Arabidopsis thaliana: one gene and its partners. The protein of the gene in region 2 interacts with the protein of the main gene of each other region in a pairwise test. Each region holds a gene or a part of one and is shown on either strand. Other genes may lie near its edges.

What was found. The genes of interacting proteins can lie anywhere in the genome.
Region 1: the proteins of SAC51 (region 2) and AT1G64625 interact in a two-hybrid assay, tested with the Arabidopsis thaliana proteins (one large-scale study listed by BioGRID).
Region 3: the proteins of SAC51 (region 2) and AT5G05120 interact in a two-hybrid assay, tested with the Arabidopsis thaliana proteins (one large-scale study listed by BioGRID).

Annotation. Positions count from the first base shown.
Region 1 is NC_003070.9:24,014,062-24,020,456, forward strand, and holds AT1G64625 (Serine/threonine-protein kinase WNK (With No Lysine)-like protein), read left to right. Parts: upstream 1-2,594; 5' UTR 2,595-2,816; coding exon 2,817-2,911; intron 2,912-3,097; coding exon 3,098-3,187; intron 3,188-3,280; coding exon 3,281-3,344; intron 3,345-3,484; coding exon 3,485-3,526; intron 3,527-3,585; coding exon 3,586-3,675; intron 3,676-3,751; coding exon 3,752-4,528; intron 4,529-4,621; coding exon 4,622-4,723; coding exon of another isoform or gene 4,724-4,768; exon of another isoform or gene 4,769-4,796; coding exon 4,797-5,120; 3' UTR 5,121-5,210; downstream 5,211-6,395. Other genes in the region: WNK10 (with no lysine (K) kinase 10), read left to right, coding at 5,859-5,909, 6,057-6,094, 6,211-6,395. UniProt on the Arabidopsis thaliana protein: Transcription factor that may regulate root development.
Region 2 is NC_003076.8:25,728,896-25,735,662, forward strand, and holds SAC51 (transcription factor SAC51), read right to left. Parts: upstream 4,419-6,767; 5' UTR 4,253-4,418; intron 3,929-4,252; 5' UTR 3,433-3,928; intron 3,335-3,432; 5' UTR 3,171-3,334; intron 3,085-3,170; 5' UTR 3,042-3,084; coding exon 1,995-3,041; 3' UTR 1,440-1,994; downstream 1-1,439. Other genes in the region: Phototropic-responsive NPH3 family protein, read left to right, coding at 1-600, 681-959, 1,031-1,330; FKBP12 (FK506-binding protein 12), read right to left, coding at 5,915-6,016, 6,166-6,218, 6,332-6,393, 6,575-6,608.
Region 3 is NC_003076.8:1,508,474-1,513,022, forward strand, and holds AT5G05120 (C2H2 and C2HC zinc fingers superfamily protein), read left to right. Parts: upstream 1-2,758; coding exon 2,759-3,364; downstream 3,365-4,549. Other genes in the region: AT5G05110 (Cystatin/monellin family protein), read right to left, coding at 65-292; AT5G05113 (uncharacterized protein), read right to left, coding at 1,260-1,517; AT5G05130 (DNA/RNA helicase protein), read left to right, coding at 3,643-4,549.

The DNA of each region.
Region 1 (6,395 bases), on a different chromosome or scaffold from region 2:
TACTTTCATTTGTCAACCAAGAAAATAGTTTTAATATCACTAAACTTATAATAAAAATAAAAAATATTCTTTTTTAAATTGGGTGAAAAATCCAAAACATCATTCTTTTTAAAACATGGAAAGTATAAATTAACTCTGAAACTCATTTCTATTTTATGTAGACTAGGGTATAGGGCTAACAAAAATTGGTCTCATAATAGATATCGAACAAAAGACACAGAACCTAAAGCAATAACAAAGGAGACTAATAACCACAAATTTTTCTCATATAGAAAAAGTTTACATATTCTCCATAGCTATTTTTTCGAACAAATTAAGAGTCAAATGCAAAAGATTTTAAAAATTTTGTGTGCTTTCAAAGATGAAGTTTTTAGCGGTTAACCATGACATATAAATTCGTAATATTTTGTAGTTGTTTTTAAAAATATGATTGGATTATATAATAAGTTTTACCTTGTTTTCCACAACTCATTGAATAAAGAATTTGTCACATAAACAATACATATTTGCAACTGTCATAGTAAAAATATATTATCAAATCTAACAAAAATTATGTATATTATGAATAAAATACTCTAAATTTAAAGAAAAGTATGAATCCAACACTATCTCTATCTTAGTACATATATATGTGGACTAATGGTAGTTAGTTAGAGTTACTCTTAAGTTTTAAGCGATAAAGGAATTTTGTTTTGTTTTTGACAGAAAAATATGTTCTCTAGTCACATATTTTAACGAAAAGTTTTAAAATAGCTTATCTAACAAAAAGCAAGTGTACAACATAAAATCCAACTTTTGGATTTATTTCACCACTTTCGGACACAATTGTAATAAGAACGGAAAGTTTCGAAAAGGGACAATAAATCAACTAAAGACGAAAAAGGATTAAGGTGAAAATCTTGATGCCGTTGACTTTTGTTCTCAACGGCCATGATTGAGCGTGTGATGAGTATAAGAGACCAAATTATGGCTATTTCTAATAACCCCAAAAAATAAATTGATTGATGAGTTTTTCTTCATTTGATATGTAATTATAATCACTTATTCCATTTCAAGATTTGTGGATATCTATTGATATTCTCTACCACTATCAAGAAGCTAAAAGTGTATTAAGTGCATGTACATTAGCTTAGGCCGAGAAGTTTTTTTTTTTTTTTTTTAAAGGTGATGTATTTGTGGCACTTAGGCTTAGGCATGTAATGTGTGGTGTGAGATGTTGCGCGACTTGCGAGTAACAAAAATGGGTCTCAAATATTGAGGCATGTATTTCTAACGTTTGCTATATATGCCTTTGATGTTCTCTAAATTCTATTTTATATCGTATTTCCATAGTAATATTCAGTAAAATCATGAAATTCGAAGGTTGATATCAGAGTTTATATAGTATAAAGTTTTAAGATATAAATAATCCATTGAAAACTCAAAACATAGGTACAAAATAGCACCATGTACAAATAAATAGCTAAAATAAAGTAATAAAGTAACAAATTAAAACACGTTTAATACTATTCATGAACTAATGTTCAAGTCTATTTAACATTCACATTTTTCCTTGCTTGTGATCTTCTATATAAACTTAAAATTAAACATGCATGGTTTCCTGATAATAATAAGATGTTTAGTTATATTAAAGAAAAAAGATAGTAGCTCTCAAGACTTAAGGCGGAAGCATAACCTTATTTTTTTTAGGTTGGTACCACAAGAGACCACAACTAAACATTTGGATGAATATAGGTATAACAAATCTCTTATGATATGTATATATCTGGCTTATATATGAATGCATACTCTACGAATGTATGTGACTGCTGACGACATTGGTGTTAGACTGTTGATATAATTATATGAGGCAGTGGATCGAGATTTGAGAACTACTTAAGTCAAGATTATCATACCGAGAATTCAAGATTTAGGTGACACATATTTTGGGAACCTCATTGGCCCATACACTAAAGAGGCGGTCATTCTTTCTTTATAACTCTAAACCATATTTTCCAACCAAAAACGGTCGATGTTAAGCTTTAATATGATGTTCAAGATATAGGATACGAGGGAGAAGATGATCGCTAGAAACTCCACAGCACCATTTATCTTCCTCTGTTGTGGGGATCACATTCTCCTCATTTTTATTTTTCCATTGCACCAGTTTCCACTATAGAAATTTTCATCAAATGTTAGTTAATTAATCATATCTAAATATATTGAATACTATTAAAGTATATCATAAATTCGTATCGAGTATTTAATGAATCGATGATAAAAAGTAAAATCAAAATAAAATCTCCCTTTATGGAAATTATACCCTCGAAGATCCTCTCCCGTCCTAAATTTTTCAAAAGACAACAAATAAATATATAGTAATCAAAGCAAACTTTTTCACTAAACCGGCAATAGCCGGTGTAATTCACGTCACTTCCGGGACAAAAGCGTGACTGGACACCGGCAGACAAATCACATCAAATAAATAATAGTAATATATTTAATTCCTCAGACAAAAAGGCTCTTCCACTTCTTATCGAATTACAAACATTTCATGTTATTGTTTGGTTATATATATAGAGAGACAAAGCTCTTAACTCCTTTTTAATTGCTTGAACAAAAAGCAAAACTCAAAGGAATTTTCTCTGTATTTTTTTCTATCTGCAGAAAATTAAAGAAAAAAAGAGAAAACTCAAAAACCCACATTTTTCCTCTGTTTCCAGCTTTTCTTTATCTTTGGAGTTTGGTTTCTGGAGAAGACAAAAGTTGTTGTCCTTTTTAAGAGTTCGAGATCCTGCAGAAATTAAAAGGGCTCTTCCCGGCTTGGATTCCTAAATATGGGTTCAGAGTATAAGCATATATTGAAGAGTCTCTGTTTAAGCCATGGATGGTCTTATGCTGTGTTTTGGCGTTATGATCCCATCAATTCCATGTAATTTCTCTCTTTTTTCTTTCGAATGTTATATGCATGTTCCTGTCTTGGATAATATTTGCATAAAACTAGTTTTGTTTTCCGTTGATTTAGGCAAAAGACTGAATTGCATATCCTCTGGTTTTATATGTGGCTTCCCTACTTTGGTGTCCATAAATGTAATTTAGTTTTGTTGAATTCCATCAGGATATTGAGATTTGAAGAAGCATACAATGATGAACAATCAGTCGCACTAGTTGATGATATGGTTCTCCAGGCTCCTATCTTAGGCCAAGGGTATGCTTTTACACTTCACTCAAATCTTTTATATATCTGTCTCTGTGTTTGTGTTTATATATCTTCAATATACTTTTCTTTTGATGAAATTAGAATTGTGGGAGAAGTAGCTTCATCCGGAAACCATCAATGGCTGTTCTCAGACACATTGTTTCAGGTTTGTTCACTTCTTTTTCTTGGTGTTTGATTTTTCTCATCTGTGAGCTATAATGTATGTCGAAATATAGTGACTGCATAGAACATTTCATGATGAAGAAGAAAAAAGATTTGATATTCGTGCGTTTGATTGTTTTGCAGTGGGAACATGAGTTTCAGAATCAGTTTCTCTGTGGCTTTAAGGTAATTTATATTTTGTCTTCTCTCCAAGTTTAAGGATTCATATATCCATTTTGAATCAGATTCTTATACGGCAGTTTACTTATACACAGACTATCGCAATCATTCCACTAGGATCCAGCGGCGTTGTTCAGCTAGGATCTACTCAAAAGGTTTGCATATATAATTATATAACAATGTTTTCTTGTTGTGGAAGTCATGGTCTAATTACTTACTATCAATCTTTAGATTCTTGAGAGCACAGAGATATTGGAACAAACAACAAGAGCTCTCCAGGAGACGTGTTTAAAGCCACATGATTCCGGTGATCTCGATACTCTGTTTGAGTCACTGGGAGATTGTGAGATTTTCCCAGCTGAATCTTTTCAAGGATTTAGCTTTGATGACATCTTCGCTGAGGACAATCCTCCTTCTTTGCTCAGCCCTGAGATGATCTCCTCTGAAGCAGCTTCTTCCAACCAAGATCTGACCAATGGAGATGATTATGGGTTCGACATTCTCCAGTCTTACTCTCTGGACGATCTATACCAGCTGCTCGCTGATCCACCAGAACAGAACTGCTCTTCCATGGTGATCCAAGGAGTTGACAAGGATCTTTTCGACATTTTGGGGATGAATTCTCAAACGCCTACAATGGCTTTGCCACCTAAAGGACTCTTCTCAGAGCTCATAAGCAGCAGTCTTAGCAACAACACTTGTAGTAGTTCTCTCACGAACGTGCAAGAGTACTCTGGTGTGAACCAGAGCAAAAGACGGAAGCTTGATACATCATCGGCGCATAGCTCAAGCTTGTTCCCTCAGGAGGAGACAGTAACAAGTCGGAGTTTGTGGATTGATGATGATGAGAGATCAAGTATTGGAGGGAACTGGAAGAAGCCTCACGAAGAAGGTGTGAAGAAGAAAAGAGCAAAGGCAGGAGAAAGCAGGAGGCCGAGGCCTAAGGACCGTCAGATGATACAAGACCGTATCAAGGAGTTGCGAGGGATGATTCCAAATGGAGCTAAGGTAAATTGAATAATAATATAGTTTAGTTTAGGGCATCCAAATTATAGATTAACAAATGCATTCTCTAATAAGTTTCGATATATATTTAAACAGTGTAGCATAGATACGTTGCTGGATCTGACCATAAAACACATGGTGTTCATGCAAAGCCTCGCCAAGTATGCAGAGAGACTCAAACAACCATACGAGTCTAAGGTAATGAATCAAATATATCCATTCAGTAAGTACACAAGTGTTTGAGTATTGATGAGTGAATGATGTTTATCAGCTGGTGAAGGAGAAAGAGAGAACATGGGCGTTGGAAGTGGGGGAAGAAGGAGTGGTATGTCCGATAATGGTGGAGGAATTGAACAGGGAAGGAGAAATGCAGATAGAGATGGTGTGTGAGGAAAGAGAGGAGTTCTTGGAGATAGGACAAGTGGTGAGAGGATTGGGATTGAAGATATTGAAAGGAGTGATGGAAACAAGAAAAGGACAAATATGGGCACACTTCATCGTACAGGCAAAGCCACAAGTCACAAGGATTCAAGTCTTGTACTCACTTGTTCAGCTCTTTCAACACCACACCAAACATGATGATTTATTATCATAGTATAATACCTACCACTTTGATTTTCTTTCTTTTTGTTACAACAACAACACAAGAATCTGTTGATAAATAGTAGTAACATTACATCAAAGAAGATTGTATGGGCTCGTGGAAAAAAAAGAAGAAGATTGTATGGGCTTTAAAACATTGACTAAGACAAAGAAAGAAGGCCCATTTAAAGAAAAAAGGAACGTAACGACACCGTTTTGGGTGGATAACAGTTAACTGACTGAATCAGAAAATAGATGCCCGTTATCCTTGACGAGGATAAAGGGGAGACACTGTATATAAATAAAAAGTTGAACAAAGATCAAATCCTCAATCTGTTTTTAGGGTTTCGAGAGAGAGAGAGAAATTGATTTTTGTTGATATTTGTGAAATTTGGTGGCGAAATTGAAGCTTCTTCATCGGTCGTTGTCTAAAAGCAATGGTGGATGGTTGATGAATGGAGGAGATGCTCTTCTTCTTCTATCCAATAACAATAATAAGAGACACGACGCTGACACAAACGCAGAACCATCTCACCACCGTCATCATCTCGGAGATGGCCGCCACACTCCTCTGTTCCCGATCTCGATTCCGATCGGCGATCGACTCCTATTGCTTCGCCCGTGAGGCCTTCTCCGATCCAATCTCCTTCCATCTCCTCACCCTTCTGTAACCACCAATCATCATCCCTCCTTTCTTCTTCTTCTTCTTCTGCTTCCGGATTATTAGTATCATTAGGTTAGAATATCTGCCATGGAAGAGGCTGACTTCGTCCAGAAAGATCCCACTGGTCGCTACATTAGGGTACGACGCTATCTGCAATTTCCATGGTTTCTAGGATAACAATGTCAATCTATAGACTTTTCCTCGATAAGATTTATATAAGTAATAGCTACGTTAATGGCTTGGAAGGTCACTTTAGGATAACAATCTTCTTCTTTCTTTCTTCAGTATAATGACGTTCTCGGGAGAGGAGCCTTCAAAACTGTGTATGTTTGTTTGTTTATACGTCCTTTACTTTTTCATTGCAGTGCCTATGTTACTCTGATTGCTTTTTAAGTATTTTTCTCATCTCTTGTTGTTGTTGTTACCTCGCCGCGTGTAGATATAAGGCATTTGATGAAGTCGAAGGTATTGAAGTTGCTTGGAACCTCATGAGCATTGAAGATGTCTTGCAGATGCCTGGCCAACTTGATAGGCTATATTCCGAAGTCCATCTCCTCAATTCCCTTAAACATGATAACATCATCAAACTCTTCTACTCTTGGGTTGATGATCATAACAAGTCCA
Region 2 (6,767 bases):
GGACATCAAGATTCCGTCGCTTGTCTCGCCGGACTAGGAATCAGTCCAAAAGACCAACGAATGATCGTCGAATCTTTAATCAGCATAATCCCTCCACAGAAAGATTCCGTCACTTGTAGCTTCCTCCTCCGTCTTCTTAGAGCAGCAAACATGCTCAAAGTAGCTCCGGCGTTGATCACGGAGCTCGAGAAACGCGTAGGGATGCAATTCGAACAAGCGACGCTTCAAGATCTTTTGATTCCTGGTTATAACAATAAAGGAGAGACAATGTACGATGTTGATCTTGTTCAGAGATTGTTGGAACATTTTCTTGTGCAAGAACAGACGGAAGGATCGAGTCCGAGTCGAATGTCGCCGTCGCCGTCGCAGTCTATGTACGCCGATATCCCGAGAGGGAATAACAACAATGGTGGTGGTGGTGGTGGTAATAATCAGAATGCGAAAATGAGAGTGGCGAGGCTTGTGGATAGTTATCTCACCGAAGTTGCTAGAGATCGGAATTTGCCGTTGACAAAGTTTCAGGTTTTGGCTGAGGCGTTACCGGAATCTGCTAGGACTTGTGACGATGGACTATACAGAGCCATTGATTCATATCTCAAGGTATATATATATTGAAGGTCTTTTTGGTAAATTCGTAGAATAGTTTTCAACATTTTTTTGGCTTAATTTTGTTGTGATAGGCGCATCCGACATTATCGGAGCATGAGAGGAAACGGCTATGCCGAGTGATGGATTGTCAAAAACTATCAATGGACGCATGTATGCACGCGGCTCAGAACGAGAGGTTGCCATTGAGAGTGGTGGTTCAAGTTCTCTTCTCGGAGCAAGTCAAGATCAGCAATGCTTTAGCCAACACATCACTCAAGGAGTCAACCACTTTAGGAGAAGCCATGGGTACGTATCAGCCTATGATCCCAAATCGCAAGACATTGATCGAAGCAACACCACAATCGTTTCAGGCAAGTAAGAGAAAACACTCATCAAAATTCACACAAATTCCTTTTTTCTAATTCCTCTACTTTGAATGCAGGAAGGATGGGCTGCAGCCAAGAAGGATATTAACACGTTGAAGTTCGAGTTAGAGACGGTGAAGACCAAGTACGTCGAGCTTCAGAACGAGATGGAAGTGATGCAACGACAGTTTGAGAAGACGGGGAAAGTGAAGAACACGCCATCTTCTTCGGCTTGGACCAGCGGTTGGAAGAAGCTAAGTAAACTGACTAAGATGAGTGGACAGGAGAGCCATGACATATCCTCTGGAGGAGAACAAGCTGGTGTTGATCATCCACCCCCCAGGAAACCAAGACGATGGAGGAACTCAATTTCATGAAGTGATAGTGATGGTTTTGTATCTTCTTGATTTTGATTCTTTGAAAAGAAAAAGCTTTTGTTTGTTCCTAATTTGTAATGTTTATTGGTTTCTAATATGGAATAAGTGACATAAACGATTCGATTTTTATCACAAACCAAAAAACGCCATTTGTTTATTACAAAACCATTTAACAATACAACAATAGAGACACAACAATACCAGTAGCATGTGGGTTGAAGCAAAAGACAAAGGAATAGTTTGCATTATTACAGACACTCAAATTAATTACATGAACATGACATCAATATTTCATAAAAATCATGGACCCATCTAGTCATCATATGGACAAAAGAGTGTGTGTGGGTCAGAGATATTTTATTACCTTAGGGGAGATTCATAGATCACGCGAGCTTGAGATGAGACTTTGAATATTTGCCTTTTGATTTCACCATCCACACTCAGCCAAAAAAGATAATCATTGTCCATCAATGACCATGACGACTTTGGCTTTTCATTCCACACAGAGAGAAGAAGAAAGTGACCTCTTTTCTTCTTTAACTTTTTGAAATTTGCAGTAGCATATATAATACTTAAAAGTAGTCCACTATATACAGCTAAAAAGCTGGTGCAGAGGATACGTACCCAAAAACCCACTTCACACGTTTTAACTCGTCAGAATCTTTCACGCCTTATCTGTCTGCAGATTTCTTGTTCCCCATGTTGTCTCTTTAAGCAACAAGATTGGTGACTTGTGAGTGGTGGAGCTTTGGTTCTTAACCTCTGTGGAGATTAAGTCTCGTTTCAGCAACTTTAGGTAATCAATTGCTTCGTCCAGAAGTAAGAGCGCTTCGTTTCCTTTTGCACCAGGGACTACGCTCTCGAGTATTTTCAGAGCTGTGCGGATCTTGTCTTTCTTCGACTGCTCGTTGCTCAGACCAGAACCAGTGTCCTCTTTGGTCGATATGGTTTTTGATTCAGGGAGCTTTTTGTCCTTAAGAAAGGAAGATCCATTGAGTTGTGTGGAGCTCTCAGTGCCCACAAGTGATGATAAGTCGCTGATGTTGTTGACCTTATCCAGTAGTTTCTGCCTTTTACAAGGACCATCGATTTCTTCTAATTCCCTTTTGTTGCAAACTCCTTCATTTGGATAAGGAGAGTGACCAGTGCTCATTACTTCATCATCACTCTCGCAATCATCATCATAATCATCATCTGAATATAGCAATGCATTGATCTCCTCAGTGTCTTCATGCATTTCTGACTCTGTTCCATCACTCTTGTGAAACTCTTCACCATCTTCTTTGAAAGCTTTCTCTATACCTTGTAACTCAGAGAGTTTCACTGGTTCTGCAGCCGCATGAGATGGAAACCGTAGAGGAAATGGACATTGTAATAGACGAGTCTGGTCTCCTGACTGATCGAATATCAAAAGTCTTTTCTGAGAAGACTCTAATGCTCCAAGTGGAGTAGTAGTAGTAGTAGCAGCAGCGCACCAAGACCGCATGTCAGACCGTGAGAATCTTTTTCCATAAGACTCCTTATCATGACTGCACAGCAAAGACTGGAATGGTGGTGGCTGCAAACAGCGAGCCTGAAGCTTAGCTGCATATAGTTTCCCAAGCTCAGGGAGAGGAATTCTAGGAAGGACAGACCGACCTACTATATCCTTGAAGCAAGCTTGAGGACTTAAGCCCAGAGGCAAATCCCGTTGCCTCTTATCCAGAGGCATGCTCTTAGCAGTTTAGCTCAAGGGAACTTCAAAAAGTACAACACTGCAGGACAAAACAGAGGCAAAAATCAGCTCAAGAAAGATAAAGTCAGTAATATCACAAGCGTAATTAGAGGGAAAAGAGCATACCGATTGTTAAGTTGCTCAACTGAGTGAATGCAATACTTCTTGTGTCCTTTTCGAGAAAATAGTAAAAGAAAGACGAACGAAAAACAATCACAGATTGAAAAATGCAGCGAAATGTCACCAACCAACTACGTGACTGGTTTGAGTAGAAGTCTGAAGTACTCAGCCTGAAACACAAAGAATAATCACAAAACCACAGTGTTAGAAGACTAGAACTATATAAGCTAAAAGTATGATAACAAGAGCATTATTGTCTGGTACAAACCTGGCAATTATCCATCGGTTGATAGCATTCAATAACTCTCACTACAATTGTTGATTCGTTAGCGTTTCCGGTCTCGTACTTCAATCCTCGAAATCTTGTCTTACCAGGTGATTGGCACACCATAACTTTGAGGAAATCTTGATTGAAGAAAGTAGACAGATACCAAAACCAAAAGGAGGAAAGTTTTGTTTGTGGAAGGAGAGTGAGCTTTTAGTCTAGCTGATTCTTTGTTCACAATGGTACACATAGAAATGTTGTGATCCCATTTTCAAAAGTGTTTATAATATACCGAAAAAGAAGGGAAGATGAATAAGAAAGAAAAGGATTTGACTCTTGAAGGTGTTGCTTCAAAGGTGAAACAATCTACAGTATCACACGGCAATACAGATTCAAGCTCAAAACTTTACGGTATACGGCAATACACATGCTGTTTTCTCTTTCTCTTCCTCTTATACACACTCTAATTGATTCTGATCACTCAAACCTACTTTAGTATCTGTGCAAAAAGTCGAAGGAAGAATCTCATCAGCACCAAAAATGAGCTAAATCCAGAGATCAAAAACAGTAAAGGACATAGATTTATAAACGTCTAGCAAGTGGGTGTATTCACAGCATCAATTCCAGCAAAATTACGCTACATTTTACTATTACAACTCAGAATATACACAAATCACAATGTTCTAAGCTAGATTCAGACATAAATTACAGAACTTTACCATTTCACAAACGACTCAAACCGTTTTTAACCACAGTCTCCAGATACACAAACAGAGAGAACAGTGACACAGACTATAAGAGAGAAAAATTGGATTTTGATTACCTTAGAAAGGAATGATCTTTCGGTCAGATCCAGAGAAAACGATGAGACTTTTTTGTTTTTTTTTGAGCTGAATCAATGGAAAAGCAAAGGGATAAGAGAGATGAAAGTGACCAACGAACAATAATGTCTAAACGGAGAATTTTTTTTTACGAAATATTTCTAAAGAGGTGAGTGGCAACAAGAGTAACAAGGCTTTATAAAAAGATTTTATGACGCTTTTGCCCTTTTCATTACTTTATTTTACCAATTCACATTCTCAATTTTTTCGGTTTTTTGTTTGTTCTATATATCGAAATTAATTTTCATTCTATATTTTTTTAAAAGAAAAAAACTAAGATACGCAAAAGGTAACATAATTTAAGTTGTACAATTTGAATTTTTAATTATTTAGAGGAAAAATATGTGTAACTTGGAAATTAATCTAGTAATTAAAAACGGTGGCAATGTTTATATTTGTGCTTTGCTTGAAAGAAATGGGACAAGGGGGCCGAACGTGTATATACGTAATTATGGTATATATGATGACAAAGTCTCACGGTCCATAATTTCAGGTTATACTTTATCATTAAATAATATTTTTCTAACCAATATAATTTTTTAATATATACTTAATTCGTTAAAGTAAAAGTTCATACGTTTTCTCTTATTTATTTTAAAAGCTAAGTTAGTGAAAGTGTGGTCGAGCTTTATTATATCCTTAATTATTTTCTAAATAAATACTATTTCAGGTTATAATCCCTCTTTAATTTTATTGAAAGCTAAGTTAGTGAAAGTGTGCTCAAGCTTTTTTTCATCCTTAATTATATTTTAATAGTACATTTGTTCAGGTGCGGTGTTGTGTGTGTTTCAAACACCCATTGTGACGGAAAAGAATAAAAGCTAACCACTCTTTTTAATTGTTTAATTTAAATTGACAATTTAGCATCTATCTAGCTTATACAACGCCAAAATTAGCTCAATACTTTTGTTTTATTTTTAAAAATATTATGTAGACTTTCATTTATGTTAAAAGTTATTATTCATAAAAGGACTTATGTGATTGGGGAATGTGGGTGAAAAGAAAAAGAAAAGTAAAAAGAATGAAAATGAAAATGGAGAAAAGAAAAAGAAAAAAGAAGCATAAGTGATGATTAAAGAATTGCACGGGAATTTTAAGTGCTTAATTACCCGCACGACTTCTCTCGCGTCTCTCTCTTTTTTCTTCCTTTCTTTTGTTAACTTATGTATCTTGTCTGAAAAAGTTTTTAACTTTAGTCTTTTTTCTTCCTTTGATTTGATATTAAGAACAGTAATTTATACTGTGTTTTGAATTAGAAGTGGTCAATTCAAATTTCATTATGGTTGAGACCATTTGCTTTGGGTCTGATATGTCATTAAGATTGAAGTTTTAGTTTGATTCTTTTGTGCTTTTTATTGGCATTTTGATTGAATAAACAAAACCATTTTAATCAAAATAAAAAAACGGGAATAATATCATAATATAGTACAAACATTCCAACTGAAACACGAGACGGGTCTTTTCTTTTATTTAGATAAAAACGTTGTCCAAGAGTTTTAGAAGAGCAATGACATCACAAAGTTTTGTTGCATAAAGATCCCAGAAGCAATAAACATAAAGGGTTGTTTAATAATCTACCCACAGTTTAGGAGCTGGGGAGATCATTACTGCACGCTCAGTACTTCGATTTCAAAGTCGAGAACAGAGTTTGGCTGGATCCCCCATGCCGGAAATCCACCAGCGCCATATGCGTAATCCGATGAGCACTGCAGAAGCAGATAAGATCGCAAGCCAAAGATGTTAAACATATAACGAAACACCCAAACTATCATGAAAGACAAAAGTGCTTCAACAGAGAGCCATAAAAGCATAGATGGCAAAGAGGAACATGATGAGAGAAGCAGAGTATACATACCCGCAAGCGAGCAACCTCTCCAATTTGCATTCCGATAACGCCTTCATCCCATCCTGTAAGCAAAGTTAAACAATCGAATCATATGATGTTCACTCGCCAAAAAAGAGGCAAATAGGTTCAGAGATATGATATGATTAACCATAAAACAGAGTAAGTAAGTTTATACCTTTGATCACAGCACCTTTACCGATTTGGAACGAGAAAGGTTTTTGTCCCTCGTCCTTTGTACTATAATGATATACCAAAGAACAAAACACAGTTAGGCTCAAGGAAATACCAAATTAAATAAGTCTTTTAAGACGAAACATATTGATTTATAAACTGAGTATGCGTAGATGATAAGAACAAGTAAGTGTAATTATCTTTTTATTGATCCTAGAATCAAAGCTTACAATAAAGAATTATTTACCTCCAGAACTTCTGGGATAGATCACCATCTTTCCCTGCCAAAAAAAACACACACACAAGAGAAATAAGATTCTCAAACAAATTCATTTCAATTCCACACAAGAAACTGGATTATAAGATAAACAAGATTCTTTAATTAAACCTACAAATAGAAAATCTAAACAAGAGATCTATTCGTATGAAGTTTCAGATGA
Region 3 (4,549 bases), about 24 Mb from region 2:
AAAAGTTTTAGAATCCTAACCCTAATTGCAGAGAATATACAAATTAGGTTGGAGGAAATCAAACCTCTCGTCTGTTGTGCTCTTGAACAGCGAAGAGTGCAATATCATCGATCTCTTTTCCACCGTTCCAATCGTTCTTGGAATCGCTAAATCCACCAAGCTTCATCTTTACGACGTTGTCGTTGTACGTTCCTTTTTCTTCACTGCAGATCACAAACTGGCCAAAACCCGAAAGGAGAACCAAGGAGACGCAAATTAACATCATACACATCGAAGCACGTCTCATATCCATTGTTCTCAGTGAGCTTCTCCGATTCCCAAGTTTCTGATCTAAACGCCGATGAGAATTTTCTTAACAGTCAGAGGGTGGTTTCTTTCGCCGGTTAAAGACTCTTTCCGTTTAAGAGAAGCAAACAAATATTATGGGCCATTAAATATGATTTTTAAGCCCATTTTATGGACTCATCTGAAAGCCCATTTTAAATCAATGTTGTTAATCCTTTGAAAAAAAAATATGCAAAAGATCAGTTTTCTTTTCTCAACCTCAAAGATCAGTTTGGTGCTGCTTCTCAATATGTGTTTGGTACTTATGCTCAGTCTTTGGCATTTGGTCAAATTTGTCTTGGGAAGCAGAAGTGGAGAGGTTGTTCACACAAACATTACTTTGTTTTTTGTATGGTTAATTTGGCTATTATCTAAAATTTTGTTTCTTATATAGAACACAAATCATTACAATATTTTATTTTTGATTGTAGAAATCATATAAAATGTTCAAAAATGTGTTTTTTTAGTAATTTGATATAGAGATTAAATGAATAAAACAATATAGAATGTTTTCTTTGTTCTATACCATTTCATGTTATATGTTCTATGTAAACAAAACCATTTACTCAAAACGATCAAAGACGCACTTTCTTAATTTTCCATAGTACAGTGTCATAAGCTTCGTTTTATTATCGAACTAGGTCATTGCTGCAAGTGACCCTTCAAAAATTGCACTAGGAAGAAGCCTAGGTGACTCAGAAGCGCAAATTGCAAAATGCAAAAGATTGCACTAGAGATTTTACCTCTAATTACAAGAGAGATTTAAAAGGCAAAGAGAAAATCTGAAAGCCGTGGTTAAGTTATTCATTAAGACAATCCATCAAAGAAACCATGAGTTTCAGTTGCGAAAGTGTGTTGGACAGCCTCAGGTACCAGTTGCGATTTACGAAATGTGTTGAAAGTGTGTTATAGTCCCCTTTTTCCTTCTCAGGTAGCTAATAACCAATCAATATCTTTGCTTTTGAAGGAAAGACAGGTCGTCGCACCATCCAATCTACGTGCTTCAGATCTTCTCTGGTGACGGATTCGTGCTCCTTCTCAATCCTCATCAACTTGTTTAACGTGTGCGCTATTCCCTCCGGCTCAGTGAGAGATTGCAGTTTCTCGAACATGCATGATTCTCTTCTTCTCCATCCTCCTATTTTCCACTTTTGTCTTCGCAAGTACATCAACCCTGATCGATGTCGGAGCATACTCCGTTGTACAGACCCTTTTCAAGAGATGGCTACTAGAACCAATGATACGGCGGAAGTTCATCGTCAATCCAAGCTCTCAAAGTTCACTAACCCTAATTATAATACATATAGCTTTCTTCTTATCTCCAATTAATGTGCTATTTATAAAAATGTTTACAAAGTTTATAAACCTTGATTACATAGATGTTCAATATCATAAGTTTAATCCAATCTGTATATTTTAATGCTGAAAAGATAGCTAAGAAACTATATAGATTTTAATTTGGTATGTTAGAGTTGAATATCTTGTTTAAACCTTGACTATACATAGATGTTCATTATCTTAAGTTTAATCCAATCTGTCATACTAAGCCATGTATATCACAAGAAAGTCTGAAAATGTGCTATATGTCATAGTAAAATTATTAAGTTAATGCTTTTTTGATGTGAGAATCAGCATTATAGATTTGATGGTAAAATGCTTCCATCAGTTTCTCTACTCTTATTAAAAGGTAGCCAAATTTAGTTTAATTACTTACTTTTAATATATATTTTCATTATGTTGATATGAAAATAATTTTATTTTTATTACCTCCAAAGTGATGTATATGAAAATAAATAAAATTGCAAGCAATGGAAAACAATAGAAAACTTAAAGGTAAATATTTTATTTAAGAGTTGAGATAATTATGTACTAAAAGTTTACTACATAATGACACTAATTAAATCTTTAATTCTTGTTTTCTAAAGTTGACTACATTAAGATCTACTAATTAACTCTTTAAACTCTTCTAAATAATTTTGTTTTCAACTATATCTCAAATTTAATAGGGCAAAACCAAAATCTCCCTACTCACTTTGGAAATCAGTAATGTTTGGAACTAATTTTGACTAAATATGCTAAATGCAACAAGTATTAATTCAGAAACAAATTTACTACGCAAATTCGGCAAATGTAAAATGTCAAATATATATAGTAATTAAACATGTTATGTGTGAGTTGTCGAAATGATAAACTAGTTTGTTAAGTACTTCAGTTAGTCTTTGTTCTTCATCATGTTTCTCTATAACTAAGTCCCTTTCCATATTTCATCAATATGCATTTATCTTATTCAAACATCATAACATTACAACATATAACTTTCCTTGATATTAAAAGTGCATACAAAGTATTAAATCTTTAAATACCTATCCGGGTGCAATAACATATTCAAGCCATCAAACCTAATTTCTAAAAGCCCGATCCGATCGACAACGAAATGTTGTCCTCGGACTCGAATTACGCTAGTGATATTAGCGACGATGCCTCCGCCACCGGATCGATAGAGAATCCTATATACAAATGCAAGTATTGTCCTAGGAAGTTCGATAAAACACAAGCATTAGGTGGTCATCAAAATGCACACAGAAAGGAGAGAGAGGTCGAAAAACAACAAAAAGCATTTTTGGCGCATTTGAACCGACCAGAACCAGATCTTTACGCGTACTCGTATTCGTATCATCATTCATTTCCTAACCAATACGCACTCCCACCGGGATTTGAACAGCCTCAGTACAAAGTTGATAGATCATACAAGATGTCCATGGTCTACAACCAATATGTGGGATCCTCAAGCTCTAGCTTTGCAGGACTACAAAGTGACCCAAGTCAAGGAATGAACCAGGATTGGACCTTTACCGGGATCCCATTCCTACCCCAATCTCAACCTCAACCACTATCGTCACCAATATGTTTGGATCTTTGCCTTGGCATTGGTAGCTCCCAAACCCAACCACAACCTCAAGAACCAAATGATGCAACAGAAGAGATGGATGCTGAGAAAGAAAATGATGGTTCTTCCCTTTCTCTCTCACTCAAACTGTGAAATTGTAATCTTTCCCTTTTAAGTATTTCTTAAACTTTCATTCCTCACCTTTGTTTTCTTGCATAGTATTATCGGCTTGTGTCAAATCAGTACTTGTGCACTTGAACATTGTAATAAACTTGGTTGTTATTTGCATTTGAATTTCATATAATAATAAAAACTTGATATTGTTCTGACTTTGGGGTGTCAAATTCTATTTATAAGAATTTGAGATGCAAATCTCAATTTTAGTTACTTTATGATACCAATATAAAAAAAAAAACCACTCTTTCGAAAGGATGCGGGTTTTGAAATACTTTCGAGCTCCTTCTTCTCTCCGTCATCGTTCCTCTCCCATGGCTCAGTTTCTTCGACGCTTCTCTTCCTCTCCCATGGCGAACGAAGACGAATTCCAATCTCCGGTGGAACCATCACAGCAGCAATCTCAGGACTGTGTTTCGGAGTCTTATCTGATAGGGTTTGTTATCGCGAACATAGTAGGGTTAAAGTACTATTCCGGCCGAATCAACGGTCGAGAGATGGTGGGTCTGGTTCGAGAACCCTTGAACGTATATGACAATAATGCAATCAGAGTACTCAACACGCGATCTGAGCAAGTGGGTCACATCGAGCGTACAGTAGCAGCCGTTCTCGCGCCGATGATTGATTCTCACACGATCGTCGTCGAGGGTATTGTACCCAATACTCGTTCTAACTCCAATAGGTACAGAATCCCTTGTCAAATTCATGTATTTGCAAAGTTAGAAGCGTCCTCTACTGTGAAATCGACGATTTCTAGAGGTGGGTTAGTATTGATTTCGGAGTCAGATACATCGTTTGGGTTATCTGAGGCTGTTGTGGTTAAGGAACAGATGGGAAATGGAGATAAGAGGAGTGTTGATAAGATTTTTAAACTTGTTGATGAGAATGTGAAGTTAATGGGGAAATTGGTAGCGGCTGAGCCACCTAGGGAAGTGATAAAGTCTGAACTTTTTGCTCATCAGAAGGAAGGATTAGGCTGGTTACTCCATAGAGAGAAATCTGGAGAATTGCCTCCGTTTTGGGAGGAGAAAGATGGAGAATTTTTGAATACTTTGACGAATTACCGCTCGGATAAGCGGCCTGATCCTTTGCGTGGAGGGGTGTTTGCTGATGATATGGGGTTGGGTAAGACCCTTACTTTGCTTTCCCTGATAGCTTTTGATA